5 linked regions of the Macaca fascicularis genome follow. The protein of the gene in region 3 purifies or fractionates together with the protein of the main gene of each other region. This does not show direct contact. Links are inferred from orthologs where the notes say so. Each region holds a gene or a part of one and is shown on either strand. Other genes may lie near its edges. The genes, in order: PLK1, CDC45, TOPBP1, SIRT1 and ATR.

The links.
Region 1: the proteins of TOPBP1 (region 3) and PLK1 purify together in Homo sapiens (affinity purification with mass spectrometry; 3 studies listed by BioGRID and IntAct, counting the BioPlex papers as one, with this or other methods). This does not show direct contact. The link is inferred for Macaca fascicularis from reciprocal best matches to the Homo sapiens genes TOPBP1 and PLK1.
Region 2: the proteins of TOPBP1 (region 3) and CDC45 purify together in Homo sapiens (affinity purification with western blotting; 3 studies listed by BioGRID and IntAct, with this or other methods). This does not show direct contact. The link is inferred for Macaca fascicularis from reciprocal best matches to the Homo sapiens genes TOPBP1 and CDC45.
Region 4: the proteins of TOPBP1 (region 3) and SIRT1 purify together in Homo sapiens (affinity purification with western blotting; 3 studies listed by BioGRID, with this or other methods). This does not show direct contact. The link is inferred for Macaca fascicularis from reciprocal best matches to the Homo sapiens genes TOPBP1 and SIRT1.
Region 5: the proteins of TOPBP1 (region 3) and ATR purify together in Homo sapiens (affinity purification with western blotting; 8 studies listed by BioGRID). This does not show direct contact. The link is inferred for Macaca fascicularis from reciprocal best matches to the Homo sapiens genes TOPBP1 and ATR.

The regions. Positions count from the first base shown.
Region 1 is NC_088394.1:22,745,601-22,752,208, reverse strand, and holds the start of PLK1 (serine/threonine-protein kinase PLK1), read right to left. Parts: upstream 3,774-6,608; 5' UTR 3,757-3,773; coding exon 3,349-3,756; intron 2,610-3,348; coding exon 2,441-2,609; intron 1,690-2,440; coding exon 1,545-1,689; intron 532-1,544; coding exon 438-531; intron 1-437. UniProt on the Homo sapiens protein: Serine/threonine-protein kinase that performs several important functions throughout M phase of the cell cycle, including the regulation of centrosome maturation and spindle assembly, the removal of cohesins from chromosome arms, the inactivation of anaphase-promoting complex/cyclosome (APC/C) inhibitors, and the regulation of mitotic exit and cytokinesis.
Region 2 is NC_088384.1:33,362,999-33,368,858, reverse strand, and holds part of CDC45 (cell division control protein 45 homolog), read left to right. Parts: intron 1-1,351; coding exon 1,352-1,489; intron 1,490-2,807; coding exon 2,808-2,951; intron 2,952-5,860. UniProt on the Homo sapiens protein: Required for initiation of chromosomal DNA replication. Core component of CDC45-MCM-GINS (CMG) helicase, the molecular machine that unwinds template DNA during replication, and around which the replisome is built.
Region 3 is NC_088376.1:36,577,974-36,583,833, forward strand, and holds part of TOPBP1 (DNA topoisomerase 2-binding protein 1), read right to left. Parts: coding exon 5,791-5,860; intron 4,603-5,790; coding exon 4,406-4,602; intron 2,080-4,405; coding exon 1,900-2,079; intron 1,181-1,899; coding exon 1,014-1,180; intron 1-1,013. UniProt on the Homo sapiens protein: Scaffold protein that acts as a key protein-protein adapter in DNA replication and DNA repair. Composed of multiple BRCT domains, which specifically recognize and bind phosphorylated proteins, bringing proteins together into functional combinations.
Region 4 is NC_088383.1:78,651,662-78,657,521, forward strand, and holds part of SIRT1 (NAD-dependent protein deacetylase sirtuin-1), read right to left. Parts: intron 5,815-5,860; coding exon 5,628-5,814; intron 4,235-5,627; coding exon of another isoform or gene 4,230-4,234; exon of another isoform or gene 4,095-4,229; intron 2,532-4,094; coding exon 1,974-2,531; intron 1-1,973. UniProt on the Homo sapiens protein: NAD-dependent protein deacetylase that links transcriptional regulation directly to intracellular energetics and participates in the coordination of several separated cellular functions such as cell cycle, response to DNA damage, metabolism, apoptosis and autophagy.
Region 5 is NC_088376.1:45,366,614-45,372,473, forward strand, and holds part of ATR (serine/threonine-protein kinase ATR), read right to left. Parts: coding exon 5,306-5,860; intron 4,489-5,305; coding exon 4,310-4,488; intron 3,826-4,309; coding exon 3,634-3,825; intron 2,828-3,633; coding exon 2,637-2,827; intron 2,168-2,636; coding exon 2,015-2,167; intron 1-2,014. UniProt on the Homo sapiens protein: Serine/threonine protein kinase which activates checkpoint signaling upon genotoxic stresses such as ionizing radiation (IR), ultraviolet light (UV), or DNA replication stalling, thereby acting as a DNA damage sensor.

The sequences.
Region 1 (6,608 bases), on a different chromosome or scaffold from region 3:
GCCACTGCACTGGGGAACAAGAGTAAAACTCTACCTCAAAAAAAAAAAAAGAAAAAAAAGAAAAAAAAAAGATGCAGGCCATTTGCCCAATGTGATCTGGCTAAGTGGCAGAATCCATTTGAATTAAGATAATCCATTTCCAAAGCTTAAGCACTTTAGCCTCCTACTCCTTCCTACCTCCTTTGTTTTTTGCTTTTTACGCAACTTTTGGGCTACCCAATCTCTTGAGAATCTGCCAACTCTCTCCCCCTAGAAAAAATGCTTATGTGCACATACATGTCAAGTTCTGTATGTAATTTCAGACACAGGCCCTCGCAAGCTCTGTGGCTATCCTAGAGGTGGGATAGACCTATTTCTGGTCTTAGGATATTGCTGGGCTCCATAAACAGCTTTTGGGGAAAACAAAATAAATGTAAAGTTAAAGCATCATTAGTCACCTTGGGAATACTGTATTCATTCTTCTTGATCCGGAGGTAGGTCTCTTTTAGGCAAGAAGTCTCAAAAGGTGGTTTGCCCACTAACAAGGTATACCTGTAAGCACAAGGTAGGATTTGGCACCAGCCTCCCAGCCACAACCCAGACATAAGAGAAATCATCTCAGGGTCAGAACAAAGACCAGGCATCCTCTGGACACTCACTGTAACTCTGGGGCCCCTGAAGACAACCAAGTCCACTGAGCAGCCCCAGGAGCCATAATATTGGCTAGAATGAGCCCTTAGCAGAATACACGTGGTGAGACTAGGATTCTTAGGGGCCAGTGATTTTTTAGTTGTGGCCTGTGGTCATCTAGGACTCTGCAAGGGCCTCAGAGGCTGCCTGTCATGCAAAACAGGTCAAAGGGCTACCTGCACTTACAGAAGCAGCTCTACCTTTAGCAATTCTGTACTTAAGTCTTCAAGTTTTCATTTGGAAAAACCCCACTGCGAAGATGTATGAAAGTCACTGCTACAACTCATTTCTAACTCTCCAGTACCTAGGCCCCAAACAAGAAAGGTAATACCTGAAAAGGCCCAAGCCTCTGCCTGCCACCAACCGCTGCTGATGGTCTCAATCCAGACAGACCACTAGCACGTCATCCTTCCATCTGTAACTCCTGGCCTAATTTCCCCCACCATGCTAATGTTCATCAATGTTTAAGACCTTATTGTGCACGGGAACTACCAAGGGACCTTGTTAAAAAATCCAGATTCTGACCCAGTCAGTAATCTGGGTCCTGAGATTCCGCATACAGGTTCCCAAATGATGGTGATGCTGCCCTGTGGACCACTCTAGCAAAGGACTAGAGTAAGGTTGTGGAGACGACTTCTCCTCCTCCTTCTCCTCCCCCTCCTCCTCCCCCATGTCCTAGGCTGCAGAAATCCAACAGGATACACCAGTGACAGGGAAAGATATGGCAGTTAGGCTTTGTTTGGGGGTAACCTGTCCCCTGCAGTAGGTTTGCTGTAAAGCAGGCCGAAAGGTCCACAGAAAAGGTCAGCCAGGTAGGATGTCCCAAAGTTGCCCCTGCTGAGACCAGGTAGATCCAGAGATAACTCCCAACTTACATGATACACCCAATAGACCACACATCCACCTCGAAACTGTGCCCTTTCTTGCTCAGCACCTCGGGAGCTATGTAATTAGGAGTCCCGCACAGGGTCTTCTTCCTCTCCCCGTCATATTCGACTTTGGTTGCCAGTCCAAAATCCCCTGGGACAGAGGGAGGAAGAGCGGGTACTTAGATGCCAGCCTCTGCCATCTGTCAATGCAGAAGGCTAGTTAAGGTTTGACCATCAAGAACCAGGGCCATTTGATCCCACAAGCTTCTGCTCCTTGTACGCAGCAAGGCTTGCCCAGGAATCTTCCCGCCATGCTGACACCAGGGAGGTGCCTCCAGTGACCCTTCTCACCCCTCCCCTTAGAAAGGGGCTATACTTCGAAACGGGAACTGGCAGGGATAGCAAAACTCCAGTGCCTTCAAGGATCAAGCAAGTTAACCTCCAAGACTTGGCAAGTCTGTGAAGAAGTAATAGGGAGGAGTAGAGACTGTGGCAAACAAGTCTGAAGGGGACAGCTGCTTTCCAGCCCAGCAAAGGACTGCCCTAAGAAAATGCTGTCCTCGTATTACTGGAGCTTTCATGACTGTTTAAAAGGAGCTCTAAATCAAAATTTTTATGTCAAACCTTCCAATTTAAAAAATAAAAACAAATTCAAATTCTTTGTAAAAAAAGAAAAATGCTGTATTGGGGCACAAAAAATAATGCATCTGTAGGCAAGATACTGACTTGTGGGTTCTTTGTTTGAAATTTCTGGACTAAAGAGAGAATTCTAGAGGCAATCAACAGCCCAAACTTCCCACCATCCTCTTCCTTCCTCCTGGTCTCCTTCCTTTCTCCCAGCCTCCTCCAAATTCCAGCCTCTTGGAGTGATGTCAAGCACCCCTGCAGGCTCAGCAACTCACCTATTTTCACCTCCAGATCTTCATTCAGGAAAAGGTTGCCCAGCTTGAGGTCTCGGTGAATAACTCGGTTTCGGTGCAGGTACTGACAGCCAAGCACAATTTGCCTTAGGTAGTATCGGGCCTCAGGCTCAGTCAGGGCTTTCCTCCTCTTGTGCAGCTCCAGGAGAGACTGTGGATGGGAAGGAGAGGGCAGGAGGGATGGGGAGGTGGTATTGAGGCCGGTGGGGAAGGGAGAGGGTTACCAGGCAAAGGAAGCACAGGACTGGACTCTGGACTCCCAAAGGATGAAAGAGGGGTCTTGGTGGGTTTCTCTCCTTCCCTATGCCCCCACCCCATTCCTTCTCCAGGACAACTGGCATCTGGACCCTGCCTTAACACTGTCCACAACCATTCACAGCACCCCTTCTCCTACTAGCTTTCTCCCTTACCTGGGGGTCCTCTCTCAGCCCCACTCCGGAAGTCCCCAGCAGCAGATCCCTTTCCTGACTCTTATCTCCCTCGGAAGGCCCGAAGTCTAGCTCCAACTACCCCCTCACTGACCCAGCTACACTCCGGAAGCTCCCAGTGCCCGGCATCACTAACCTGGGACTCCTCCCTGGCCACTCCAGGGCCCTAGCGTCCATTACCAGCAGCCCTCCCCCCAAGTACCTCGCGTCCAGAAGCTGACCTCCCTATCAGCAACATGACTCAGACTCCACTTCACTGGAACCCCGTCCTCTAGCAGCTCCAAGAGCCAAGAAGCCCTTACCAAAGGCACTTTCCATACCTAAGAGGGAGGCTCCCAGCACCCTTCTCTACCAGCTCCAAGTCCCAGGTACTCCCTTCCTGGGCACTCTTTCCAGCAGCTCCAGGTCTGGGCGCTCCAACTGCCCCGCAGGCAGTTCCAGTTAACCAGCAGCGACACTCACCCTCCGGCGGCAGAGCTCCAACACCACGAACACGAAGTCGTTGTCCTCGAAAAAGCCGTGGAATCCTACGACGTGCTGGTGGGCGAGGCTGCGGTGAATGGATATTTCCATGGACATCTTCTCCCTCTGGTGCGGCTTAAGCAGCAGAGACTTAGGCACAATCTTGCCCGCGAACACCTCCTTGGTGTCCGCGTCCGAGATCTCGAAGCACTTGGCAAAGCCACCCTTGCCCAAAAAGCGGCCCCGCACATAGCGCCGCCGGCTGCGTGGGTCCACTAGGACCTCCGGGATCTCTTTCGCCGGTGGAGCCGCCGCCGGAGCTCCAGGAGCTGCAACTCCGGGGACCCCGGCTTTCCCAGAGTCGGCCGGTGCCCGTGCCAGCTTCCCTGCAGTCACTGCCGCACTCATGCTCCTGGAGCTGCTCTGCTGACCTGGATCCGAGCAGACGCTCCGCACCGCTCAGCTCCTCCCCGAATTCAAACGCGGCGCTGGGAACGTTACAAAAGCCTGCGCGCCACTGATTGGCCGCGGGGATTTAAAATCCAAACCCGCCCGCCGCGCGGCACCATGGGAGCGCCCTGCGCAGCAGCTGCCTTTAAACCCGGACCCAGCCGGGGAAAAACTTGATTGACAGGGACGCCCGAACACGTGGGATAGCCTGGGAAACCAAATCCGGCGTGGATGCGGAGACCCAGCCCCGAGAGGGGAGGAATTCCTTCGGGGTTTCTCCCTTTCTCGGGCGTCCGGGAAAGCTCCTGCAGTTCGCTTGCGCCTCCTCCAGGAAGCTTTTCCTTAAATCTTCCTCCACTTCCACCCCACCTAGAATATAAGCAATCTAAGAGTAGGGAACTGGCATGCCAGCAGGTCGTTTAAGAAAGCCTTAGCATCCGCCTCCCGATGCCGTCAGCTCTCAGCCAAGCCACCCGAACTGAACTAAAATCTAAGTAAAAGTGTGCTTGCCAAACATACCTTCATGGCTAGTCTGCTCCTTCAAATAACTGCCGCTTCTGAGCTCCTCCGGATTACAAAGCAACGCTGCTTAAAGAAGGGGCCATGGAACAGCAGCATCGCCATCACCTGAGAGCTTGTTAGAACCGCAAAGGCAAACATTCAGGCCCTACTCCAGACCTCCCGAGTCAGTGTCCGCCTCTCAACAAGACTGCTCAGGTGATTCCTACACATCCTGAAGTTGGAGAAGCACAGTACCAGAGTCCTCCATGATGCAAGGAAGCTGTCTGGCCTGCTCGCTACTGAATTTCCCAGGGCCTAAAATAGTGGACACTCAGTTTCTTGGTCAGAGGGACGGAAGGTTGGAAGAATGCCTAGCAAACTGGCAGGTCATAGCCAAATGTGTCTTGCAGGGTTTTGTTTGGCCTCCCACGTGTGTGTGTGTGTGTGTGTGACGGAGTCTTGCTCTGACTGGAGTGCAGTGGCACAGATATCGGCTCACTGCAACCTCTGCTTCCTGGGTTCAAGCAGTCCTCCCGCCTCACTGCAACCTCTGCTTCCTGGGTTCAAGCAGTCCTCCCGCCTCAGCCTCTCAAGTAGCTGGAATTACAAGCGTGCACCACCATGCCCGGCTAATTTTTGTAATTTTAGTAGAGAAGAGGTTTCACCATGTTGGCCAGGCGGGTCTTGAACTCCTGACCTCAAGTGATCTGCCCACCTCGGCCTCCCAAAGTGCTGGGATTACAGGCATAAGCAGCCATGCCCGGCCATTGTAAAACATTTACAGCATTTAAAAGAGGAGGTCATAAAAATTTGGATTTGTGGCCTTTCCTGAAAAAAATCAGCTCTAGCTACTTAACTCTGTGCCTACATGCTTTCAGTTTGCCACAGTTCCCATTTACACCCCTTTGTTCTATAGGTACTTGAGTGGCAACCCTGGAACAGCAAAATACCTAAGTTAGAAGCTCTTTCTCTGTGCCTCCTTAGCACCCTCTGATCCTTCATAGAGCCCAGCAAAAATCAACCATACTATAAGTATCCTTCACCTGCCTTGCAGCTAAAGGGAAGGGCAATGAAGGCAATGAAGGCAATGATGCTGTCCTTTCCACCCCATGTCCCAAGCTCCCAGAGCAGTGCTTGGTAAAAAAAAAAAAAAAGGGTACTTACTAAAATGTTGGCTGAATAAAAGGAAGACTTTGAAAAATTAAGTTATTTAGTACCCCTATGGTGTGAATAATTCTTTTTATTGGAATTTAATATACTTACAGAAAAAAATGTACATATCATAATTGTACACAGAGCTCAGTGAATTTTCACAAACTGAACACATCTGTAAACCACACCCAGATTGAGAAAGAGAACATGACAAACACCCCGCAAGTCTCCCTTGTGCCCTGTGCCAGGGGTGCCACCACCACCTCCTAGTCTGATGATGTACTAGGAGATTCACAGACTCAGCCTGTAATCATACTTATGGCTATGATTTACTACAGCAAAAGGCTAGGAAGCAAAATCAGCAAAGGAAAAAAGTGCATGGGCAAAGTTCAGGGAAACCAGGTGCAAGCCTCCCACGGTCCTCTCCCAGCAGAGTCACACAGGACACAATTCCTCCAGCAATCAGCTGTGACAACCCATACACACTGTTGTGTACAAGGGAAGCTCATTACAGACTCAGTGTTCAGGGCTCTGATTGGGAGCTGGTCACTTCATCCTCTGCCTAACACATATGAAAATCCAAGACTCGCAGAAGGAAGGCAGATGTCGGGCATAATCCACATTGTACAAACAGTTTAGGCACAGTGAACCACTCTTATCATTTAGGGATTAATGAGAACCCTCCTGAAATCCAAGCTTTCAGATGCCAGCCAAGGGCCAGCCTTGCAAACAGGCCTGCTTTCTCATCTCTTTTCACAGTCCATCTCCTTATTGAGGATTCTTTACAGCAAAATTATTATCAGTAGGACCCCATGCAAAAGGGTGAGACCAATCTGAAGTATGGACCTCAGTTCCTCCTGGTAGGGTCCTGGATTTAACCAGCTAAAATAAATCCCATTAACCATAAAGTCTATCTTAGAAATCCAGGTGGCTTCCTCCTTAATTCCTTTTTTTTGAGATGGAATCTTGCTGTCACCCAGGTTGGAGTGCAGTGGCGTGATCCTGGCTTACTGTAACCTCCACCTCCTGGGTTAAAGCGATTCTCCTGCTTCAGCCTCCCAAGTAGCTGGGACTACAGGTGCACACCACCACACCCAGCTAATTTTTTTATTTTTGTATTTTTACTAGAGACGGGGTTTCACCATGTTGGTCAGGCT
Region 2 (5,860 bases), on a different chromosome or scaffold from region 3:
ATATATATATATATATATATATATATATTTTTTTTTTTTTTTTTTTTTTTTTCCTGAGACGGAGTGTCACTCTGTCACCCAGGCTGGAGTGCAGTGGCCGGATCTCAGCTCACTGCAAGCTCCGCCTCCCAGGTTTACACCATTCTCCTGCCTCAGCCTCCCGAGTAGCTGGGACTACAGGCGCCCGCCACCTCACCTGGCTACTTTTTTGTATTTTTTAGTAGAGACGGGGTTTCACTGTGTTAGCCAGGATGGTCTCGATCTCCTGACCTCGTGATGCGCCTGTCTTGGCCTCCCAAAGTGCTGGGATTACAGGCTTGAGCCACCGCACCCGGCCTATATATATATTTTTTAAACGGAATCTCGGTCTGTCGCCCAGGCTGGAGTGCAGTGGCATGATCTCGGCTCACTGCAAACTCTGTCTCCTGGGTTCATGCCATTCTTCTGCCTCAGCCTCCTGAGTAGCTGGGACTACAGGCACCTGCCACCTCGCCCAGCTAATGTTTTTGTATTTTTAGTAGAGACAGGGTTTCACCATGTTAGCCAGGATGGTCTCGATCTCCTGACCTCAAGTGATGCGCCTGCCTCAGCCTCCCAAAGTGCTGGAATTAGTTAAAATTATTTTAGAATACACTACTATTTTATATTATTTCTCCAAGAAAATGCATCCTGGTTTCCAACTTGAAATACAGGAATAAATTTAAACAATAGATGCCAGGATTCCTCCCACCTCTGCATGGGGCCAAATGAGAGATGGGACATTGTAGACCCCACAGAGAGGGGATGGGACATGGAAGAGGGACCCTGGAGTCCCTGGCCATATCTAGGATTGTTTTGGCAGAGACAAGTCCTCTCCTGGTGTTCCTGTTGTTATGTCAAGGACCTGCACCAGCTTGGTATTGATAAGGAAAGCACATGCAATAGTGATGGAGTGTGATAAAGGACTTAATATTTAAGTACCAATAAAGTATTTGCTGAAAACTTAAACCTGTACAATGCCATTAGCCTGGAGAGGCATGCAGCATAGTACCGTGAGGTCTGGAGAGACGCAATCATGTGCTTGAAGCCTTGCTCTGCTCCTCTTTAGTTTCTTGAGCTGTCCATAAGACTTGGGCTTGCTGAGTCTCAGTGTGCTCCTGGGGAAAACGGAGCCCCAGGGCCCACACTGCTCTGTCACCATGCTAAAGCACTTAGCATGCCAGCCTGGCCGTTTTTTGGAATCCCTTGCCACGTGGGCCTTGCCACATGTCAGGGACTTAGTAAGTTTAAGCAGAACAACTCAGAGACTTAGTGGTGAAGGGAAAAGGGCCTCCTCGATATAGCTACTTTACAATATCTTCCTTTTTTTCAGTTTCGTCATTTTATTCTCATAAACTGTGGAGCTAATGTAGACCTGTTGGATATTCTTCAACCTGATGAAGACACTATATTCTTTGTGTGTGACACCCATAGGCCAGTCAATGTCATCAATGTGTACAACAATACCCAGGTACTTTTTGTGCTCTGCCCTCAAACTGTCTGTACTTTTTATGCCATGTACAATGTCTCACCTGGTGTTCTTGGTAAGGTGTGTGTCTGACTATCCTGTGGGATTGGAACAGCCTGAACACAAGAACTTGGTCTTTGTCATCTTTTTTTTTGAGAGATAGGCTGGAGTACAGTGGCACAATCATGGCTCACTGAAGCCTCAAACTCCTGGGTTCAACTGACCCTCCTGCCTCAGCCTCGTTAGTAGGTGGGACTACAGGCACATACCACCACGCTCAGAAAATATTTGTTTATATTTTTACTTGAAATGGAGTCTTGGATGGGCATGGTGGCTCACACCTGTAATCCCAGCACTTTGGGAGGCCAAGGCGGGCGGATCATGAGGTCAGGAGATTGAGACCATCCTGGCTAACATGGTGAAACCCCGTCTCTACTAAAAATACAAAAAATTAGCCAGGCATGGTGGTGGGCGCCTGTAGTCCCAGCTACTTGGGAGGCTGAAGTAGGAGAATGGCATGAACCTGGGAGGTGGAGCTTGCAGTGAGCCAAGATCGTGCCACTGCTCTCCAGCCTGGGCGACAGAGTGAGACTCCGTCTCAAAAAAAAAAAAAAGAGGCTGGGCGCAGTGGCTCAAGCCTGTAATCCCAGCACTTTGGGAGGCCGAGATGGGCGGATCACGAGGTCAGGAGATCGAGACCATCCTGGCTAACCCGGTGAAACCCCGTCTCTACTAAAAAATACAAAAAACTAGCCAGGCGAGGTAGGGGGCGCCTGTAGTCCCAGCTACTTGTGAAGCTGAGGCAGGAGAATGGCGTAAACCCGGGAGGCGGAGCTTGCAGTGAGCTGAGATCTGGCCACTGCACTCCAGCCTGGGTGACAGAGCGAGACTCTGTCTCAAAAAAAAAAAAAAAAGAAAAATCAGCCTGGAGTTACTTTTAGACAGGAGTTTTAGTCATCTAGGGGTTACACATCTTCATGTCCTTTATCAGAGGCCAAGTTGTGGGGCATTCATTTTATTCATGTATGACATAAGAGGATGCTGTGTTTCTAGACTTAAGTAGACTAGATGGTCCTCAAAGAATTGTTTTCAGATTTTCGTAATTTCTGCATACCACGTATGGTGTAACTCTGGTGCCTCACTGGTAATGAAAACAAGAAAATTCCTTGGAAGCCTGGAACTCTTATTAAATTGGTAGCTATTTGTATGAACAGGAAACTGAGTCAGCTTATTAGGAAATGATGAGATTCTGCAGAAGAACATATTGTGTAGTTTTCCGTAGAAAGAGGAGAGGCTTAATTCCTTTTTGTTTTGAACTTAGATCAAATTACTCATTAAACAAGATGATGACCTTGAAGTTCCCGCCTATGAAGACATCTTCAGGGATGAAGAGGAGGATGAAGAGCATTCAGGAAATGACAGCGATGGGTCAGAGCCTTCTGAGAAGCGCACACGGTTAGAAGAGGTGTGTTTGGGTCTCTCACAGCCATCCCGGAGGAACTTGCACTCCCAGAGGTCAGAGGTCATCCTAAAGGCTGCCAGGCCCAGGTGTACCTGAGGGCAGTGGGAAGTGGAGAAGTTAACAGGCATGGATGCTGACCCTGGGCTCTGCTGTCCCCTGGTTGTGTGGCCTCAGGCAGGTTACTGGACTTCCCTGAATAGTGGCTTATCTATCCAATAGGATCCTGTCAGATAAAATGAAATTTAGGACAGCTCAGCTCTGCAGCTAGATAGCAAAAAAATAATGTAGAGAAGCAATAAATAGTGCAACTCCCACCCCTTCCTTTCCTACTGTCTTCTAGCATCACTCACTGTGCAGTCACTGCAGAGGAGCAATGTGGGTCTGCATCCCTTGGCCAGGCCCAGTCCCAGACAGTTACTCCAGGGGAGGTATCTTGTATGTACAGATACGAATGGTTTTCACCATGTGGACCTTGGGTCTGAGCTGCTTAGCGATCTGGGGCTGGGCCCAGGGGCCTACCCAACACTATGGCTTCTGCCAGATGTAAAACGATAGGCAGAAGGTGGTGATTCCTATAGCACGGAGGGCCATAGGATGTTTTGAAGATGCCCTCTGGCTCCCGATCTTGGTGTGTGACCTAGAATTTGCCCCCGGAATGTCCTAAGGTCTTCTCTTCATCCTCAGCCTGACATTTCCCAGTAGTGTGCTTTTGGGAAGTCTTTTTGAGCCATATTTGAGACATTCAGGACATTCTCCATTTGAGGAAGGGGCAGTGCCCTTAAAACTGAGGCATGCTTCTCTCTTCTTTCTCACCTTTGTCACCCCTTTCACTAGGTTTGGGTGTCTCATCAGGAATCTCTTGGATCTACTCTTATATTTCCTTACTTCTTGCCCAGCTCTTTGTCTGTTCTATTTTTTGGAAGACTTTTTGGTCTTTATTTTATTTTTTTTCCCTGCAGACAGGGTCTCTCTCTGGCCTCAAACTTCTTGGCTCACTCAATCTTCCCACTTCAGTCTCCCAAGTAGCTGAGACTGTAAGCACATGCCACTACACTCAGCTTGGTTTTTATCTTCTAATCTTTGATTTGTGAGAGGTCTTTTTTGTTCTCTGAATTTTTTTATATATAGCATTCTTTTTTTTTTTTTTTTTTTTTTTTTTTTTTTTTTTTTTTTTTTGAGACGGAGTCTCACTCTATCGCCCAGGCTGGAGTGCAGTGGCCAGATCTCAGCTCACTACAAGCTCCGCCTCCTGGGTTTACACCATTCTCCTGCCTCAGCCTCACGAGTTGCTAGGACTACAGGCACCCGCCACCTCGCCTGACTAGTTTTTTAGTAGAGACGCGGTTTCACCATGTTAGCCAGGATGGTCTCAATCTTCTGACCTCGTGATCCGCCCGTCTCGGCCTCCCAAAGTGCTGGGATTACAGGCTTGAGCCACCGCGCCCGGCCATAGCATTCTTTTAACTATTGATGAGCTGCATTTCATTGGTTCCCAAATATCAGTGTCTAATGGGATTTTCCCTGGAAACATTCATGTTCTACAGGTAAGTCTTGAAATTTTCCATTCTGACTAATAAACATATTTTTTAAACACTTACTATGTGCCAGGTACCAGTTAGGCCCTGGGGTGCAGGGATGAGAGCAAAGTCCTGCCTTTGCAAAGCTTTCCAGTGGGAGAGACAGATACTGATCATGTAAATGAGCACAATTAGGGAAAGCTTTCAGGTACCAAACGTGAGTTAGCATGGGATGAGCCAGGAGGATTCCTGGGCAGAGCATCCATAGACACTGCGGCTCTGAGGTGGGAAGGAAAGTTTCAAGGAAGGCTCGGCCAGCAGTGCCAAAGGAACAGGCCAATGAGAATAGCCCAGTGGGTTTGGCAACAAAGAGAAGGTAGGTTGTCTTGATGAGATGCAAGAAAATATCAGCGTTTCCTTTTACATACTTAACACATCAATTTGGAATCTATGTTTGTAAATGTTTAACATAATATTCATGAAATATAATAGGCATAATTTCCCACCAACTTTTTATTTTGAAGTTTTTTGAAATGTATGCAGTGTTGAAAGGATAGTACGGTGAATATCCATATATCTTCAATCTAGAGTCAACAGTGGATCATGACTGTAGGTGGTCTCAGCTACTTGGGCGGCCAAGGCAGGGGGATTGATCAAGCCCAGGAATTCGAGAACAGCCTGGGCAACATGAAGAGACCTTATCTCAAAAAAAACAAAAACAGTTTTTCACATTTGCTTTCTCTCTACATATTCTTTTTCCTGTATCATTTGAGAATAAGTTGCAGAAACTATGATATTATTTTTTATTTTTTATTTTATTTTTTCTTGAGATGGAGTCTCTGTCACTGAGGCTGGAGTGCAGTGGCACAATCTCGGCTCCCTTCGACCTCTGTCTTCTGGGCTCAAGTGATTCTCCTGCCTCAGCCTCCCAAGTAGCTAGGATTACAGGCGTGCACCTCCACACCCAACCAGAAACCATGATATTCCACACATTCTTTCGTAAGCAGCTCCTAAGAATAAGGACATTCTTCCCCATAAACACAATGCCATTGTCATGCAGAAGAAATGAATAATATGCTAATATCAGGTAATATTCAGCCCATATTCAGGTCTCTTTAATTGTCCTCAAAATATATTTTGCAGCTATTTTTATTTCTGAACTATTCTTCAATCAAGGTTAACACATTTAGCTATTTCTCTTTGCTGTCTTAACCTAGAACTGTACCTTACCTCTTTTTTTTCTTTTGTTTTGTTTTTAATGACACTACAGGCCAGTCATCTTTTCTTTTTTTTTTTTTTTTTTTTCTTTTTTTTTTTGAGACGGAGTCTCGCTTTGTCGCCCAGGCTGGAGTGCAGTGGCCGGATCTCAGCTCACTGCAAGCTCCGCCTCCCGGG
Region 3 (5,860 bases):
TGGGATTACAGGCATGAGCCATCACGCCCAGCTCCAATTTCCCTTCTTAACAATAAGGTAAGGTTAAATTTTTGCTACTCTGTGAAAATTAATGCACAGCCAAGTCATTCTACAAATAGGAATACATTAAGTTTTCCAATCTAAGACAGCCGAAAAAGTATAGCATATGATGTTTCCATCAACAAACTCATAAGACAATTATTCATATACTAAAAAATTAAATAGCCCAAGAAATACCAAACAAAGCATTGGCTCTAATGGTAAGGAATACAGACTTTGGAGTAGATAACTGGCCACTTAATGTCTCTCTGTGTGACTCTGAACAAGAATTTTAATTCTCTAAGTCTTACCCTCAAGATAATATCCATTTTAGAGTTATCTGTGGGAATTAAATGAGATTTTATATATATATTAACATACATAAAATGATTAGTACAGTGTCTAATACACTGTAAACACTTAGATGATAGTTATAAATAAAAGTCCAAACCTGGGCAACATAGTAAGACCTTGTCTCTACAAAAAAATTTTAAAAACTAGCCAGTTGTAGTGGCACATGCCTGTAGTCCTAACTGCTTGCGGACTAAGGGGTGGCTGATGCCCAGGAGTTCGAGGTTACAGGACGCTATGATTGTGCCACTGTATTCCAGTCTGGGCGACAGAGTGAGACCCTATCTCAAAAAAATAAAAATAAAAAATCCAATAAGTCGTTCAGAAACTAAGTGCTCTCAAAATACAGCAGATGGAAAGATTAATGTAGTTAGGAGGGTTCAGAGAAGAGTTAAAACCTGAAATGAACTTTTAAAAGGTAACAGAGGAAGATACCTCACAGGCAGAGGGACTCTTGCAGCCAAAGGATGGACATGGTCTAGTAAGCACATCTACTTAGCTAGAGTGGAGAGTTTACATAGGTAGTAAGAAGCAAGCCCAACTCTGAAGGGTCTTCAAAGTCAGGCCAGGAAATGCTAATGCATATCATCACTTAATGCATGTATTATATAATAAAGACGTACCCGACAACCATCTAATAAATCTTCAGGTGCTTGAAATGCACTGACATCCAGATTTTCTAGATTTTCAAGTGTAGGCTCCAGTTTGCTGTTAAGTGAATTACATATTGATTCACTTATGCAACTTGCATTTATGTTGGAAATATTGCTGACATCTGAAAGAGTACGACCTACATATTTTGAAAACATGTATAAATTTATGGGAGATAAAATAATCGTGATTATATATTGTCTATGGATTAACTTTTCTTACAAATATAGGGCAATAAACAACTTCCAAAGTAAGATTCAGGGGTGTTTACTGAAATCTTAGTGACAAAGTATAAAAAGGGAAAATGAAATTAATTAAGCCTCTTATCTTATTTAAATGAAAATAGATTTAACACATTTTCCTAATAGTGTCTTGTTTCCCATAAAAATCTGAAGTTGCTGACTTTAAGGTCCAAGGGGCTTACATTTGAAAAAATATTTTAAACATTTTGCCAACACAACACCTACAAAATAGAAACTGTTTTAATTTTTATACAAATACAGACGATCTATAACAACTGCAGCAAAACCGTAAATTAAGGAAAGATTAATATATGCATGTCAGTAATGTTTAAAAGATTAATACTTGTATCTTAAGCCTCCATCTACCATTGTTCTTAATTTCTTTGATCATCTTTTGCATTACATCAGGGTATAAAAGAAAGCATTCATTCATTCTAAAAAAAAGTTATGAACAGTTCAGTACTAACTTTTCACACAATTTGACTATTATACTATTATGCCTAGAAGCATAGCAAACAAGAAAAAGAAATTCCCTATCTCAGTGATTCTATTAACATACTGATTATTACACAGAAATATGACTGTCTTCAGAATATTTAATCTCAGTGAGACTCACTATCAATTGTGTTGATCTGGCCAGTAGGAGTTGAAGAATTGGGCATAGTCTTTGCTTCTGGTCTAGGTTCTGTCTTGTACATGGATTCATCCTGACAAAAACCTTTCTCGATACTGTCAAAAAACCACTGCGTGGTCACACAGTGTACATTCCATCTCTTGGCACACTCATACTTCTGACCTGTAGCGTTAAGAAAGAAATAGAGAAAACAGGAGAAACCAAGAAATGAAAACCATTAAAATCTATCTTTGCAGAAATATTCAAATTATAACAGGTTTTTTTTTTTTTGAGATGGGGTCTCACTGTGTTGCCCAGGCTGGAGTGCAGTGGTGAGATCTTGGCTCACTGCAACCTCCACCTCCCTCCTGGGTTCAAGCGATTCTCCTGCCTTAGCCTCCTGAGTAGCTAAGATTACAGACACGTGTCACCACGTCTGGTTAATTTTTTTGTATTTTTAGTAGAGACAGGGTTTCACCATGTTGGCCAGGTCTCAAACTCCTGACCTCAGGTGATCTGCCCGCCTTGGCCTCCTAAAGTGCTGGGATTACAGGCGTGAGCAACTACACCTGGCTGTAACAGGTTATTTTAAAAACCTATCAACAAAATTAAAGTTACCAGTACTTACTCTTAAACAGTATGCTACATAGTTTATTACAAAGTAGTATTTTAGCTTACTGCCTAATTATATTTTCTATGTGTTGCATAAATACACATGCCATGTGAGAGTGTTTATCTTTTACACAAACTGCAGGAAGACAGGAGCAACTGTGGGGTAACTGAATTAATACTGGACTTGGGTTTGCATATAGGCTCCATCATTTACTTTCTTTAAACCAGCTTGTACAATGTGAAAATTGTAAATGTGTGCAATATAATAAATCCCAACTTTGAACAGACTATTCCAATGTCAACAGGCTTCTACTTAAAGTCCAGGATAGATAAGCCAATAGATAAATTACGTTAAAAATATGTATCTTTTTATTACCTTAAAAATCTTTAACACAATGTATTTTGAAGCAGTATCACAGAGGAATTGAGGTCAATATGTCACATGAAACGTTTTTTGGCATTCTTGAGAGAATCAACAATGAACAGTCTTCAGATTCAGAAAAAGAACAGCAGTATCAACTCTACTCACAGTGATCCTATCACAACTGGCCATACCCAAAGTTCTGACTTAAGGACAATTACCATTTAATCTTAATTTCTTCTCAATCTAGGTAGCTTAGTAAAACATGGTACACATATAAAAGGCAATAATAAAAACATTAACAAAACTCATCTTTTATCAATTTGTGTATATTTTAAGAGTGCTGATAAAAAATCATCCAAAATAATGTTATGGAACACCAAACCTAACAGCAATTTTTTTTTTTTTTTTTTTTTTTTGAGACGGAGTCTCGCTCTGTCACCCAGGCTGGAGTGCAGTGGCCGGATCTCAGCTCACTGCAAGCTCCGCCTCCCGGGTTCACGCCATTCTCCTGCCTCAGCCTCCAGTAGCTCGGACTACAGGCGCCCGCCACCTCGCCCGGCTAGTTTTTTTGTATTTTTTTAGTAGAGACGGGGTTTCACCGTATTAGCCAGGATAGTCTCGATCTCCTGACCTCGCGATCCGCCCGTCTCGGCCTCCCAAAGTGCTGGGATTACAGGCTTGAGCCACCGCGCCCGGCAACCTAACAGCAATTTTAAAGAATTTTTATTGTTGGTAATGTCTTCTTCATTTTTTACTGCCTCATGTTCCGCAAGGTGTGTCTTCCAGTTAAAACTTGTAGTTCATTCAGTCAAACTAAAACTAAGTTAAGCCTTTTTAAATTAGTCATTAGAAAGAAATGCCAATTAGCTATATTTATTAGTTTTCCTGTTATTTACCCAAACTTCTTGTCATTATTTGGTAATTGTGTGAGGAACATTTTTAAAAAATCAAAAGATACAAAAGTAAGCTTAAATAAAACATCACTAAAAGTTTTTGGTTTTTTTATACTTACTCAATGACCTGAATAAATATGAAAAAAAGTCATATAATCGGTTTACAGATTGTGACCCAAACTACCTTTGCAAGATGTTAGAGAAAACAGTATCAAACTAGATTAATGACATGTCAGAAATAAAAGCTGTTCTGTAAAGATTTTAAAATATTAAATACTAGTGGCTGGGCATGGTGGCTCATGCCTGGAATCCCAGCACTTTAGGAGGTCAAGGTGGGCAGATCGCTTGAGGTCAGTTAGAGGCCAGTCTGGCCAACATGGTGAAGGCCCGTCTCTATTAAAAATAAAAAATTATCCAGGCGTGGTGGCAGGTGACTGTAATCCCAGCTACTCGGGAGGCTGAGTTGGGAGAATCACTTGATCCCGGGAGGCAGAAGTTGCAGTGAGCTGAGATTGTGCCACTGCCCTCCAGCCTGGGCAACAGAGCAAGACTCTATCTCAAAGTAAATAAATAAATAAAAATAAAATATTAAATACTAGAGAAAATGTTTCATTTGTCCCTTTGTGAAACACAGTTTTACCTTTTGGTTCTTGCACAATGAGGTGTGTACATTCATTCATTTTCAATTGTCCCATGTATTGACCTCCATGCTTAACTGTGAGTTGCTGAACTTCCTTCCTGTCTAAGCCACATAAGCCAGTCACACAGATTATGCAACCAAGAAAAATAGGACACTTGAAATCTTCCATGTTTATATCAGTATATCTAGTTATTTTTCTGTGGGAATGAAATGGTTAAAAAAGAAAATATTAAATTTACCAGAAGAATAATGAAAAACAACACAAATACCACTATTGCTTTCCTCATTTTTTAGGATTTAAAATCATTTTTTTACAAAGGAGAACCACCAAACAGAATTACACTAATTACTCACCGAGTTCAATAACATGTCTCTAACACAAAGTAATTGTTTCAGATACAGTCTCTCAAAACCATTTTAAGGGAAAAATATACATTTCCTTAACTCTAGCCCTTGCTGGTCACAGTGGTATATTTTCCAAAATTGTAAGTCTGAATCTCTACTTAAAAACCCAAAGGTAATTTGGTTGCCTATTAGAAAAACGAACTTTTTAATCTTCCCATTATTCTATATAAGTAAAAGCAATGATTTCTGGCAAAATACCAACAAAAATATCATTATTCTGTTGCCATGCAAGGCAGATGTGCTGATGAAGTAATCACATTGGGAATGAGAGTTGCTGACATGGAGACATACTTAGGATATGCCGGATGGTGTTGAAAACAAGCCCAGAAAAATGCCGATATAATTCGTATGCCAATAGAATTCTGTGGTATTTGGTCTTGTGGTTGTTTATCTAGTTGCAGGGGAACTAAAGTGCGCCCCTTGAAATAAGCTCTAAGTTCCATGAGGGAAGTGACTATCTGTTTTGCTTACTAAATATAACTAAAGCCTAGCTCGGGTCAGATATGTAAAATGGGCTCAGTTAACATTTATTAAATAATCACATCTCAGCTGATGACTTATATATGTTTATATTCAACCTTACATATGCCATCTTTTGGAAGGAATGCAACTGCCAAAATGACTAATTTATTCTCTATCTTAACACAGGGGAATGGAGTTGAAGGATAATGCAACATAAAAGCTACAGAATTGCCAAACTCGTTTTCTCAATATTTCAGAAACATTTACAGCTGAGAACTTTATCGCCAAAGCATGTATCACTCTGTAGCTAAGGATAAACCCTTAGCCCATTCTATGCCTGTTAACTTATGTCTTGGTAATAAGAGCTTGTAGATTCTGTTCTTCTGTTTTCACTGGAGAAAACAGTAATGACACTATTTTTTTCCCTGAATGATAAATCCAAAGAGTATATCACATGCCAAAAATGACTGAATGCATCATTTTTTCAAATCTAGAAAATATAAAAATGTCTTTCTTACTTCTCTTGTGACTTCTCCCAAAGTGTTTTTATCCAAGAGGGAAGCAAAATAGGTTTCTTCAGGTTTGCAG
Region 4 (5,860 bases), on a different chromosome or scaffold from region 3:
CCCTACACTTTGGGAGGCCAAGGCAGGCAGACTGCTTGAGCCCAGGAGTTCAAGATCAGTCTGGGCCATGTGGCAAGAACTTGTCTCTACAAAAACTAAAAAAAAAAAAAAAAAAATTAGCTGAGCATGAGGGCACGCGCCTGTGGTCTCAGCTACAGCTACTCGGGAGGCTGAGGCAGGAGAATCGCTGGAACCTGGGAGGCGGAGGTTGCCGTGAGCCGAGATCACGCCATTGTACTTCAGCCTGGACAGCAAAAGCAAAACTCCGTCTCAAAAAATAAATAAATAAAAATGTAAAAAAATAAAAATGACTGCTCCAGGTTAACTCTGTTTCCTGGGAAGAGATTTATGCGTTTGACACATCTGCCAAAATGACATTCAAGAAAAGTTCCCAGTGCAAGTCTTAGTGCACAAGTAGACTTTGTATATGATAGAGACGACTGTATATTACCTAAGTCAGTAGCAATTTTTCTACTTTCTGACTTCTGCCACGATTTGCAAACATAAGCATCCCTCTATGCTTTTTCTAGTTTCCCCTGGGAACACGTCTGCTCTTTTTAAATCCCTACCTATTGTTAAATATTTTGCTCCTTAGAAAGCCTTGTATAATCTAATCTCCAAGTACAATCTACCTTTTGGGGCTGGGCATGGTGGCTCACGCCTGTAATTCCAGCACTTCTGGAGGCTGAGGCGGGTGGATCACAAGGTCAGGAGATTGAGACTAGACTTACCAACATGGCAAAACCCTGTCTCTACTAAAAATACAAAAATCACCCGGGCATGGTGGCGCACGCCTGTAATCTCAGCTACTCAGGAGGCTGAGGCAGAAGAATCACTTGAACCTGGGAGGTGGAGGTTGCAGTGAACTGACATTGTGCCACTGCACTCCAGCCTGGGCAAGAGTGAGACTCCATCACCAAAAAAAAAAAAAAAAAAAACCCAAAAAAAACAACCTACCTTTTGGGTGATGTTTTGTTCAAAACAATACTATTTTGTTCTTCAGCAGCACCTATACCAAAGTATTAATGAGTAACACCCACATTTATAATTACATACAACATTAATCACTGTGTCTCCAGAACTTACCACAGTGCCTAATATGAAAAAGGCCAAAGGTTTATTCAACTGAACTACAATGTATTTACAGCAAATGACTGGAATACTCAAATACAGTTGTCTAAAATTTGTCAGTTTTCACCAAGTATGGTAAATGGAATGAGACTTAAGAGTTCTAAATTATAGCTAAGTTACAGTGGTTTTTTTTTTTTTTAACAGTATTTTTCTAACATTAAGTTAGGAATTTCGACCAGACTACTCGGACTTAAAACATCAGCTTCCGAACAGTAGAAAGTGATTTCACCTATGTCAATTAACACTGATTGATAAAGACTATGCATGTTCTAAACAGGGTAGAAACTATTCCTATATTCAGTGGAGAAGAATCACGGATTCTTTCCAAGTCCTCAGAGGAAACACAGATGTGTTCTAAATCTCAGACAACACTGCATAGTAGTTAAGGGGGCAGGCTCTAAGCACAAATAGACTGGAATTTTAATCTGGTTCTTTCACTTCTTAGTATTTACCGTGCATGAGGTATTTAACCTCTATGGTCCTGAGTTTTCCCACCTGCAGAAGAAAATAATAGATTCTACCTCAGAAGATTAAAATCATGTAACATATGTAAAGCAGCTAACCCACAATAAGCACCCAAATCTGTCATTGTTTCCGCCAGCTAATAACCCATTCTTATTTTTCCATCCCCTAGAGAAAACATACAGAGCACTATTAAACACTTCCTTCTCTGTATTATGAAGGATACCAGATTTACCTTTCTGATTACGAACTGTACAGTTTCTCTAAACAGAATCAACTACATAAAGCTACCCTATCGATTAACCTGCCGAAATAGCTAATTTTTTGGAAATATTGTTATGACAACTATACTTTCAAAATGGTTCGATTGCCTTTCTTACCATCAAGCCGCTTACTAATCTGCTCCTTTGCCACTCTACTAGGCCAGCATTTTCTCACTGTTCCAGCCACTGAGGTTCTTTCATTTTTCTCCCCAGTACTGGAACCAACATTCTTCAAATCCGGATTTCCCATGTGTTCAGCAATACTTTCAACATTCCTAGAAGTCTGTACTTCCTGTGGTTTTTCTTCCATACGACCTTTTGATTCAGACACATCTAAATCATCATTACTCTTAGCTGCTTGGTCTAAAAGTGTGACAATCACTGAAGAATCTGGTGGTGAAGTTCTTTCTGGTGAACTTGAGTCTTCTGAAATATGAAGAGGTGTGGGTGGCAAGTCTGACAAATAAGCCAATTCTTTTTGTGTTCGTGGGGGTTTTTCAGTAATTTCTGAAAGCTTTACAGGGTTACAGCAAAGTTTGGCATATTCACCACCTAACCTATGACACAATTCATTAATTATGACATCACAGTCTCCAAGAAGCTCTACATCAAAATGCAGATGAGGCAAAGGTTCTCTATTAATTAATATCTGAGGCACTTCATGGGGTATGGAACCTAAAATAGGGTGAAAAATAAAAGTTAGAAAAAGGGAGGAAGAAGTAAGCTAATAAAACCACAACAGATACATTACACAAAAATCCAACAAGGGCTTGAGCTCCAAATTTCCAAAAAAAACCCATGAACTAAATACTTAACCAAGCCATTACATTTCATCAAGCAAGCAGATAGGCAGTTAAATGTCTTTTATAAAACGTTCAGGTTCTGCTCCTGTCACCTGGTTACCCCTGAGCAATATTCCCAGACTTTCCCACTCTGAACCTCAAATTTCCTTGTCTGTAGAATGGGGATAATAGTACTTTTCCACAAGACTGTGAAGATTAAATGAGTTAATAAGTCAAGTGCATAGAAGAGTTCTTGGCACATAAATGTTCTACTTAAGTAGCTCCTGATATAAAGAAGGTGAGCCGGGTGCGGTGGCTGACACCTGTAATCCCAGCACTTTGGATGGCCGAGGCAGGCGGATCACCTGAGGTCAGGAGTTCAAGACCAACCTGACCAACATGGTGAAACCCCGTCTCTACTATTAGCCGGGTGTGTGGTGGCGCATGCCTCTAATCCCAGCTTCTTGGGAGGAAAAATGCTTGAATCCAGGAGGCAGAGATTGTAGTGAGGAAGAGACTGCAGTGAGCCAAGATCATGCCATTGCACTCCAGCCTGGGCAACGAGGGAGGCAAGGAGGACGGGAGGAAGGATGGGAGGGAGGATGGAAGGATGGGAGGGAGGATGGAAGGATGGGAGGGAGGATGGGAGGAAGGAAGGACGGACAGAAGGATGGACTGATGGGAAGAAGGACGAATGGACAGAAGGACGGACATACAGAAGAAAGGAAGGACAAACAGAAGGAGGAAGGATGGAAGGATGGAAAGATGGAAGGAAGGGAGGAAGGGAGTGGGGGGGAGGGGAGGGAAGGAAAAAAGTCATACAAATAAATTCTACACTATTGTAAACCTGTTTCTTTTTTTAATTATCTTTGCAACACACCATACTATCCCACAGAAAGCTTTCGAAATAAAAAACGGGGCGTGGTAGCTCATGCCTGTAATCCTAATGCTTTGAGAGGCAGAGGAGGAAGGATCACTTGAGGCCAGGAGTTTATGACCAGCCTGGACAACAAAGTGAATCCCGTTTCTACAAAAAAAAATTTTTTTTCATTAGCCAAGCATGGTGTGCGTGTGTGATCCTAACTACTGGGGAAGCTGAAGTGGACGGATTGCTTGTCCCCAGGAGTTCAAGGCTGCAGTGAGCTATAACTGCACCACTGCACTCTAGCCTGAGCTACAGCAAGACACCCATCTCTTAAAAATAAAAATAAAAAAAGCTTTTAAGCAGAGTGCCTCTGAATTTGCTTTAAAAAGAGTAACTCAAGAACAAAGGGACTTGTATATTACATTTTCATGTTTCATTTAATTGCAAATTGTCTTGTATTCTACTTTAACAGAATTTCACAGCTAATTAGGTAAGACTGAGTTAACTGCTAAAGCCACAAGATATGGGATAGACACAAAATTGAAGAGCTTGACTCCATGTTTCCTTCAACTGTTTACTCTGGCTGCCTTGACTGCTGATGTGGGGTCTAATTAAATTCTCCGGCTAGGGATTTAATATTGTTTCCTGTCCTCTTTCTCTCACTTGTGAAAGGATACATCTGATGCAACTGAAATCTCTCTCTCTCCTCCTCCTCCTCCTCTGATTCTAAACTAGAGGAGAGAACAGTATGAGAATACATATGACAAAGAAATGTTCCTGAGAGTAACAGGGATTTAAATTTTATGTGAACATTTTATAAACACACCCTTTTGGGTAAACTAGACCAACATATCACCATTATGACTTGGCTATTATTACAACAAGAATGAACCAATCATTTTGAGCCCCGAAATTCCATCTTACATGGTACGTTACACTTCTACCTTCTACCAAACTATATATTTGAATTTATTAAATGTGAAATCAATTAAATTTGAAAGATCAACTGTAATCTTAAGAATAAAAATATGAGGATTAAGGACCATTTCATAAATTAATTGATGCTAACATTAAAAACACATTCCACCAAAAAGTCTAAGTTACACTCTTTACCTTTGTCTTAATTTTTCACATAAATCAGAAGTAGAGTTTAGCATTACTTGTGGGGTTTTTTGTTTTTGATTTTTTGAGACAGAGTCCCACTCTGTCGCCCCGGCTGGAGTGCAGTGGCACAATCTCGGCTCATTGCAACCTCTGCCTCCTGGGTTCAAGCGGTTCTCACACCTCAGCCTCCCACGTAGCTGGAACTACATGCGCACACCACCACGCCCAACTGATTTTTGTATTTTTAGCAGAGACAGGGTTTCACCATGTTGGCCAGGCTGGTCTCAAACTGCTGCCCTCAAGGGATCCACACACCTCGGCCTCCCAAAGTGCTGAGATTACAGGCATGAGTCACTAACGTTACTTGTGTTTTGACAACCCTCCACACCCCATCAAAATGTCAGATTCACCAGTCTCAATGAACAACAATGCCACATAAAAAATAGTTGAGCCAGATGTGGAGGCTTGTGCCTGTAATCCTAGCTACTCAAGGGGCTGAGGCAGGAGGATCCTTGAGCCCAGGAGTTCAAATCCAGCCTGGGCAACACAACAGGACCTCATCTCTACTATAAATAAACAATTTCTGGCCGGGCATGGTGGCTCATGCCTGTAATCCCAGCACTTTGGGATGCCAAGACGGGTGGATCACCTGAGCTCAGGAGTTCGAGACCAGCCTGGCCAACATGGCGAAACCCGGTCTCTACTAAAAATATAAAAAGTTAGCCAGGCATGTTGGTGGACAACTGTAATCCCAGCTACTCAGGAGGCTGAGGCAGGAGGATCGCTTGAACCCAGGAGGCGGAGGTTGCAGTGAGCTGAGATCACGCCACCGCACTCCAGCCTGGGCAATAAGAGGGAAACTCCATCTCAATAAATAAACAAACAATTTCGAAAATTAGCTCTTCACCACTCTTTCAAACAGAAGCAGAGTAAGATTACTAGAGTTAGGGTCTATTATACAGATCCACAACCCATGACATTATATATAGAAATGATCTCCAAAAGCCATCACCAACTTACTTGGAATTAGTGCTACCGGTCTTACTTTGAGGGAAGACCCAATAACAATGAGGAGGTCAACTTCATCTTTGTCATACTTCATGGCTCTATGAAACTGTTCTGGTAAATTTTCACCAAAAAACACAATCTCTGGTTTCATGATAGCAAGCGGTTCATCAGCTGGGCACCTAGGACATCGAGGAACTACCTACGAATTTTCAGATTTTGGTTGAGACAGAGAAGCAAACAGTAAG
Region 5 (5,860 bases), about 8.8 Mb from region 3:
TAACATTTGTGTATATATAAAAAAAGTCAAGTAACATTTAAAATACATTTAATACCTAATTTAATTAAAAGCTCCTTTTCAGAAAATAAAGTGCACTGAAAAAGGTCTATACACAACCTTACTAAATAATCAAGGAAATGCAAATTGAAAATCATACCTACCAGATAAGAAAAAGAAAAAAGTTTTATAACTCCATGACATTTTTTATTTTCTAGATAGCAAAAATTTTAAAGTCAGCTAAGTGTCAGTGAGGATGTGGAACTCATACTCTGCTAACAGGAGTGTAAACTGGCATATCTTTGGAGAACAATACAGCAGAATAGAGGTGAAGATGTGCAAACTCTATAACCCAACAATACTACTCTTACGTAGGTAAAAACGTTAAAAAGTGCTTCTCAAACTTTAATATGGATATGAATCACCTATCTTGTTAAAATGTAGATTCTGATTCAGTAGGTCTGGGTGGAGCATAAGATTCTCCATTTCTTTATTTTATTTTATTTTTTTTTAAATGTGCTCTCTCAGCAGAATCAAAGATGCTCCATTTCTAACAAGTCCCTAAATGGTGGCGATGCTACTGGTCTGTGGACCATACTTTTCAAACAGCAAGGCCTTAGAATGACTAAAGAATCATTTATAAAAATATTCATTTAAATGTTGCATGTAATTGTGAAAAGTTGGAAACAACGTGATTGTCCACCAATAGGAGGTCTGATAGTGTCTATCCATACATTTGGCTACTATTTGGAAGTTTAAATAAAAACTAGAGTTACCCATATCACCAAGGATAAGTCTCATAAAGATAATGTTGACCAACAAAATGTAAGCTGTAAGAAGCAAAACAATTTCTTTTATTATTTACAAATAAACACATATATAGTAAAAGTAATAGAACATTCAACAGAACAATCAACACCAAATTCACAACAGTAGTAATCTCTGGGGGAAAAAAATGAGGGGAATGAAATCATAGAGGAACAAAGGGCTTCCATCATATCTCTAATATTTTTATTTCCTTTTTAAAAAAAATTTCATGAAGAGAGGGAAGGGTGAAGAGAAATTGACTTTAAAGGGCTATGATGTTTTTATTTCTTTTTTCTTTTTTTTGAGACAGAGTCTCACTCTGTTGCCCAGGCTGGAGTGCAGTGGCGCAATCTTGGCTCACTGAAACCTCTGCCTCCTGGATTCAAGAGATTCTTGTATCTCAGCCTCCCTAGTAGCTAGGACTACAGGCACAAGCCACCATGCCTGGCTAATTTTTGTATTTTTAGAAGAGATGAGGTTTTGCCATGTTGGCCAGGCTGGGCTCAAGCTCCTGACCTCAAGTGATCCACATACCTTGGCCTCCCAAAGTGTTGGGATTACAGGCGTGAGCCACCGTGCCTGGCCTAATGTTTTTGTTTCTTAAACTGAGAAGTTGGTATAAGAATTTTTGGTATATTGTTCTTCTTTTTAAAATATTTCTCAAATACTTCCTAATCTTATTAAATGAAGATAATGACACGTGAGGATACATTGCAAATGTTTTACAAAAAGAAAGGAAATGGGATATGTGGGTCAGGATTTTATGTGTTACTTTTTATATATCTAACCCCTTTCTGAATTATTAAAAATATAACTGCTCTTTTAATTATTGAAAAAAATTTAAATAAGTCTTAGAAGTCCTATATAGAGGTGAGTTAAAACAAACCACACAAAGCCGGGCATGATGGCTCACGCCTGTAATCCTAGCACTTTAGAAGGTTGAGGCAAGTGGATCACTTGAGGTCAGGAGTTCGAAACCAGCCTGGCCAACATGGTGAAACCCCACCTCTACTAAAAATACAAAAATTATCTGGGTGTGGTGGTGCACACCTGTAATCCCAGCTACTCAGGAGGCTGAGGTAGGAAAATTTGCAGCAAGCCAAGATTGCGCCACTGCACTCCAGCAAGGATGACAGAGTAAGACTGTGTCTCAAAAATAAATAAATAAATAAAACAAACCACACACAAACATATTCTTGTGAGCACTTACAATAGCTATCTGAAATCCTATGGCTTAATGTTAGAAGATTAGTGGCAAATGTGGTTAACTTTAAACTGCCATCATCAGAATGGGAATAAATCCATGGAAGTGAGAGCATTCCACATAAATCTTCCAGGATATGATCTTCAAATGAACTGTTTACTACAGAAGCACAAAATAAGTCATTAATTATAATTTTTCCTTAATCATATCTCTTTTAAACAAAAATAAAGACATTTGAAATACCAAATACTGTTATAATGATCATTCGATAAGAAGAAAATTCTTAACACAGAGATCCATAAATGATGGTCTGAGGTCTGTGAACCCAAAGAAATTAAATGTGACTTTATAAAAACATGTATCTGTGCCTTTTTTAAAGAAGAACCACAGCATTCCTCAAACTCCCAAATCAAAAAACTTTAAAGTTATAAATAATTTCTATTGACTAAAGAATCAAAATATTACGCACATAAACTGGCAACTCAGAAATTGACAAATTTAATAGAACTGAAATCAAGAACAAACTTCTGGGTATTCCATGCACTTAGGCTTCAGGCAAAAAAGAAAGCGTATTTCTATACTGATTATCTTTAAAGGTTATTCTGATCTATTGCTTATTTGTACTCACCTTGCATATAAATCAAAGCATCATAAATTTTCACCACCTTATCAATGGTTGCCTCCAGGTCTGGTTTCTGAACAGTTTCTAACAAACTTCTACAGCTCTTAAGCACTTTTGTGTAAAAATCCAATGACATCCAAGTTATCACTACAGAAGGTTTCTTCTTGGATTTGTGTTGACAGTCCTTGAAAGTAGGGCTGCAGTAAGTACATTTTATTAAAGACATTGGAATTAAGACGAATTTTGTTATAGTCAAACGTAAAATTGTAGTAAAGCCAAAAGAAATTGTGAGTACAAAATTTACAACAATTTAAATATGCAAATCAAGTAATCATTATTTTAAATTTAATCTATTTATGTCAGCTTAAATCACCCTTAGGATTTGGGAACTAAAATTACTTTGGGAGGCTGACATGGGAGGATCACTTGAGCCCAGGAGTTTGAGAACAGCCAGGACAATACAGGGAAACCCATCTCTACAAAAAAAATTTTTTTTAATTAGGGTATGGCGGCGTATGCCTATAGTCCCAGCTACTTTGGAGGCTCACTTGAGCCCCGTACGGAGATCAAGGCTGTAGTGAGCCATGATCATGCCACCGTACACCAGCCTGGGAGACAAAGCGAGACCCTGTCTCCAAAAGCCAAACACTGGGTTTTTGAGTTGTACACAAATGTGTTCTGGTACTTTCTAACCATGCGTCCCCAAGAAAGTCAGTTTTGGCTTCAGATAAAAAAGAGCCTCAGTTTCTCTGAGTGTCAATTTCTAATTTTTAAAATGGGCATAACAGCATTTACCTTAGAGGACTACTGTAAATATTAACTAAGATATATACAGTGCTTAGCACTGTGCCTAGCATTTGACTCAATAGAAAATAAATTTCTTAACTACTTCAGTGAAAAGTTTGTGTTCTAAGGTCACATGATTCAAGTGAATAATGAGTAAACAGTAAATCCAAGTTCATTACAGGAAACCCAACCCCAAGAAACAAGAAGTTTGTTTTACCAGTTCATGTTTTGATGAGAACAATGAACAGTACACAGAGCAGTCAGTTGTAAGACAACAGCGATTCCTTCTAACATCTCAATAACAGGATTCTTTAGGCCACTGTATTCAAGGGAAATCTGAAGGGATTCAGCTTTCTGTTTCAGTGCACTCCATAATACGCTCTTTTGGTTCATGTTCACATGTTTAATTCTATAATTATGAATACAGTAGAGAGATATTCTTATGCAATATAAATTTGGTTAAAACATGAAACATCTTTAGAATAAAACATACTATGTAATATCAACTATTGAAATTCATATTAAGATTTAAAACAATTAAAACAATGTTCAGAACTGAAATATAGCAATTATTTAGCTACTTTATAAAAACTGTTTGTTAACATTTTAAAAATTGCTAATAGATGCACAGTCTCAAAGATTTTTCACCTATTAAAAAGTTAAATTAGATAAGCATGTAAAAACATGCAAACTAACTATATTTAACCATGAAATGTTTTATACTACTGACAGTCTACAAGAATTATTAAAATATTTTAAGCACTCCCTTGGCTACATTTAGAAAGATGTTCTTTGTGTATTTAAATCAAAGCACTTAACTAATAAGTTGATTTTTAAAAGTGAACAAAGTTTTATTTAATGGCTAAATACAAACTGAATGAAGGTCATCATACTCCTCAGTCTGTTTTGGTGCTCTTTTAGAAGGGTTTAGAGATGAGCTGAGACGACGCCTTTTGGGTGATATTCCATCACTATTACTGCTGAGGTTTTCCTGTTGAGTTTGGCATTGAATCTCCTCAATGATTTCCATACTTTCCACTTTCAAAGCTGCATAAAGTGGGCCCAACAAGTACTGAGAAAATAAAAAATAATTTCCAGAAATATTCCTTAGAAAATATATTTATATTATTCATAGGTAGCAAGAATGTATTAGATGTTAGTCAGATGTTTTCTAGTGAAACTACTTTTAGAGTCTCATAAAACAAAACAAACATCTAAATTGATCTATATTATTTAAGTCTATATATAGACTATGGTTCTATAGTCTCAGAAGGTTTAAGACAAATCCTTCTCTCTATATCCTGTTTTTCCTCTTACCAAAATGCTATAAATTTTAATTCCCTTATAAAAAATGTTGTAAGGGAATTACCAACTTTTTTCATGTAACAAATCCAGCAAGATTAATAAATTAAAATATTTAATCAAGTTACTGCATCTCTGATGATTTTATTGTATTTCCTGACTCCCACAGTCCAAACAGAAAAAAGCACATAATTTGGCATGATTAATCATTCATAGGTTTTCTAAAAGTGATTGATTATAACTTGTCAGACACAAAATCTATTTGAGTGATCAAAGCTTCTGCAATTAAGTTGATAACTGCCCCCTTTTAATTAATAATGCAACAAATACATTTACACATCACAGATTCTACTTAGAAACATTCTACTCCATTGGCAGTTCATTACCAACTTAAATAACAAATCCTTCTGAAATCAAAGTAAAAGTCCATAACAGTGAGCCAGACTACACAATGAAAATCATTATGTTCCAAATATAAATTACTATTAAAGATATTCCATTTCCTTATTATTACATTTTGCACATATGTATACAATTAAATGATGAACAAAATACATACTTAACAAGTAACCTGAAAAATTACTTACCTCTGCATCTACCTGAATTCCAAGCACATCCAAAAGAGCTTTACAAATATTTGTCACATAGACCTTCCTGACTTGTAAAGCAGATTCATACCCAGCTGGCACAAATTTAAGAAAATACTGCAGTAAATGGCACAAAGCTGCTTTTAGCAAATCAGACTTAAGCCGCATGAGCACACCATCTTCAAACATGACACAGAGTTTTTCCAGCAGCATATTTAAATAGACAGGTTCAATATTTCTATAAGCTTCTGCTTCAAAGGGAAATAGTGTCTTTATCAGCTTTGATAATGGCTCTTCATAGAGTTTCAATTGGTCAGTATCCATTTCTACAAGGTGTTTTAATAATTCCAAAAATGAGCTGAAAAAAGTGCTAGCTGGTTGTGCTGGTAGTCCTCCAAGCTGAAAAAGTTCAGTTAAAAAGCTAATTGCTAGTGATTTAATTTTTGGACTACCATACTCTAGCAGTACACAACCTATCTGCCAAAGTAAGAGTTCTTGCCTTCTAAAAAACACAATTGCAATAATACGAGTAAGAACCGTTAATAAAGTGACTTC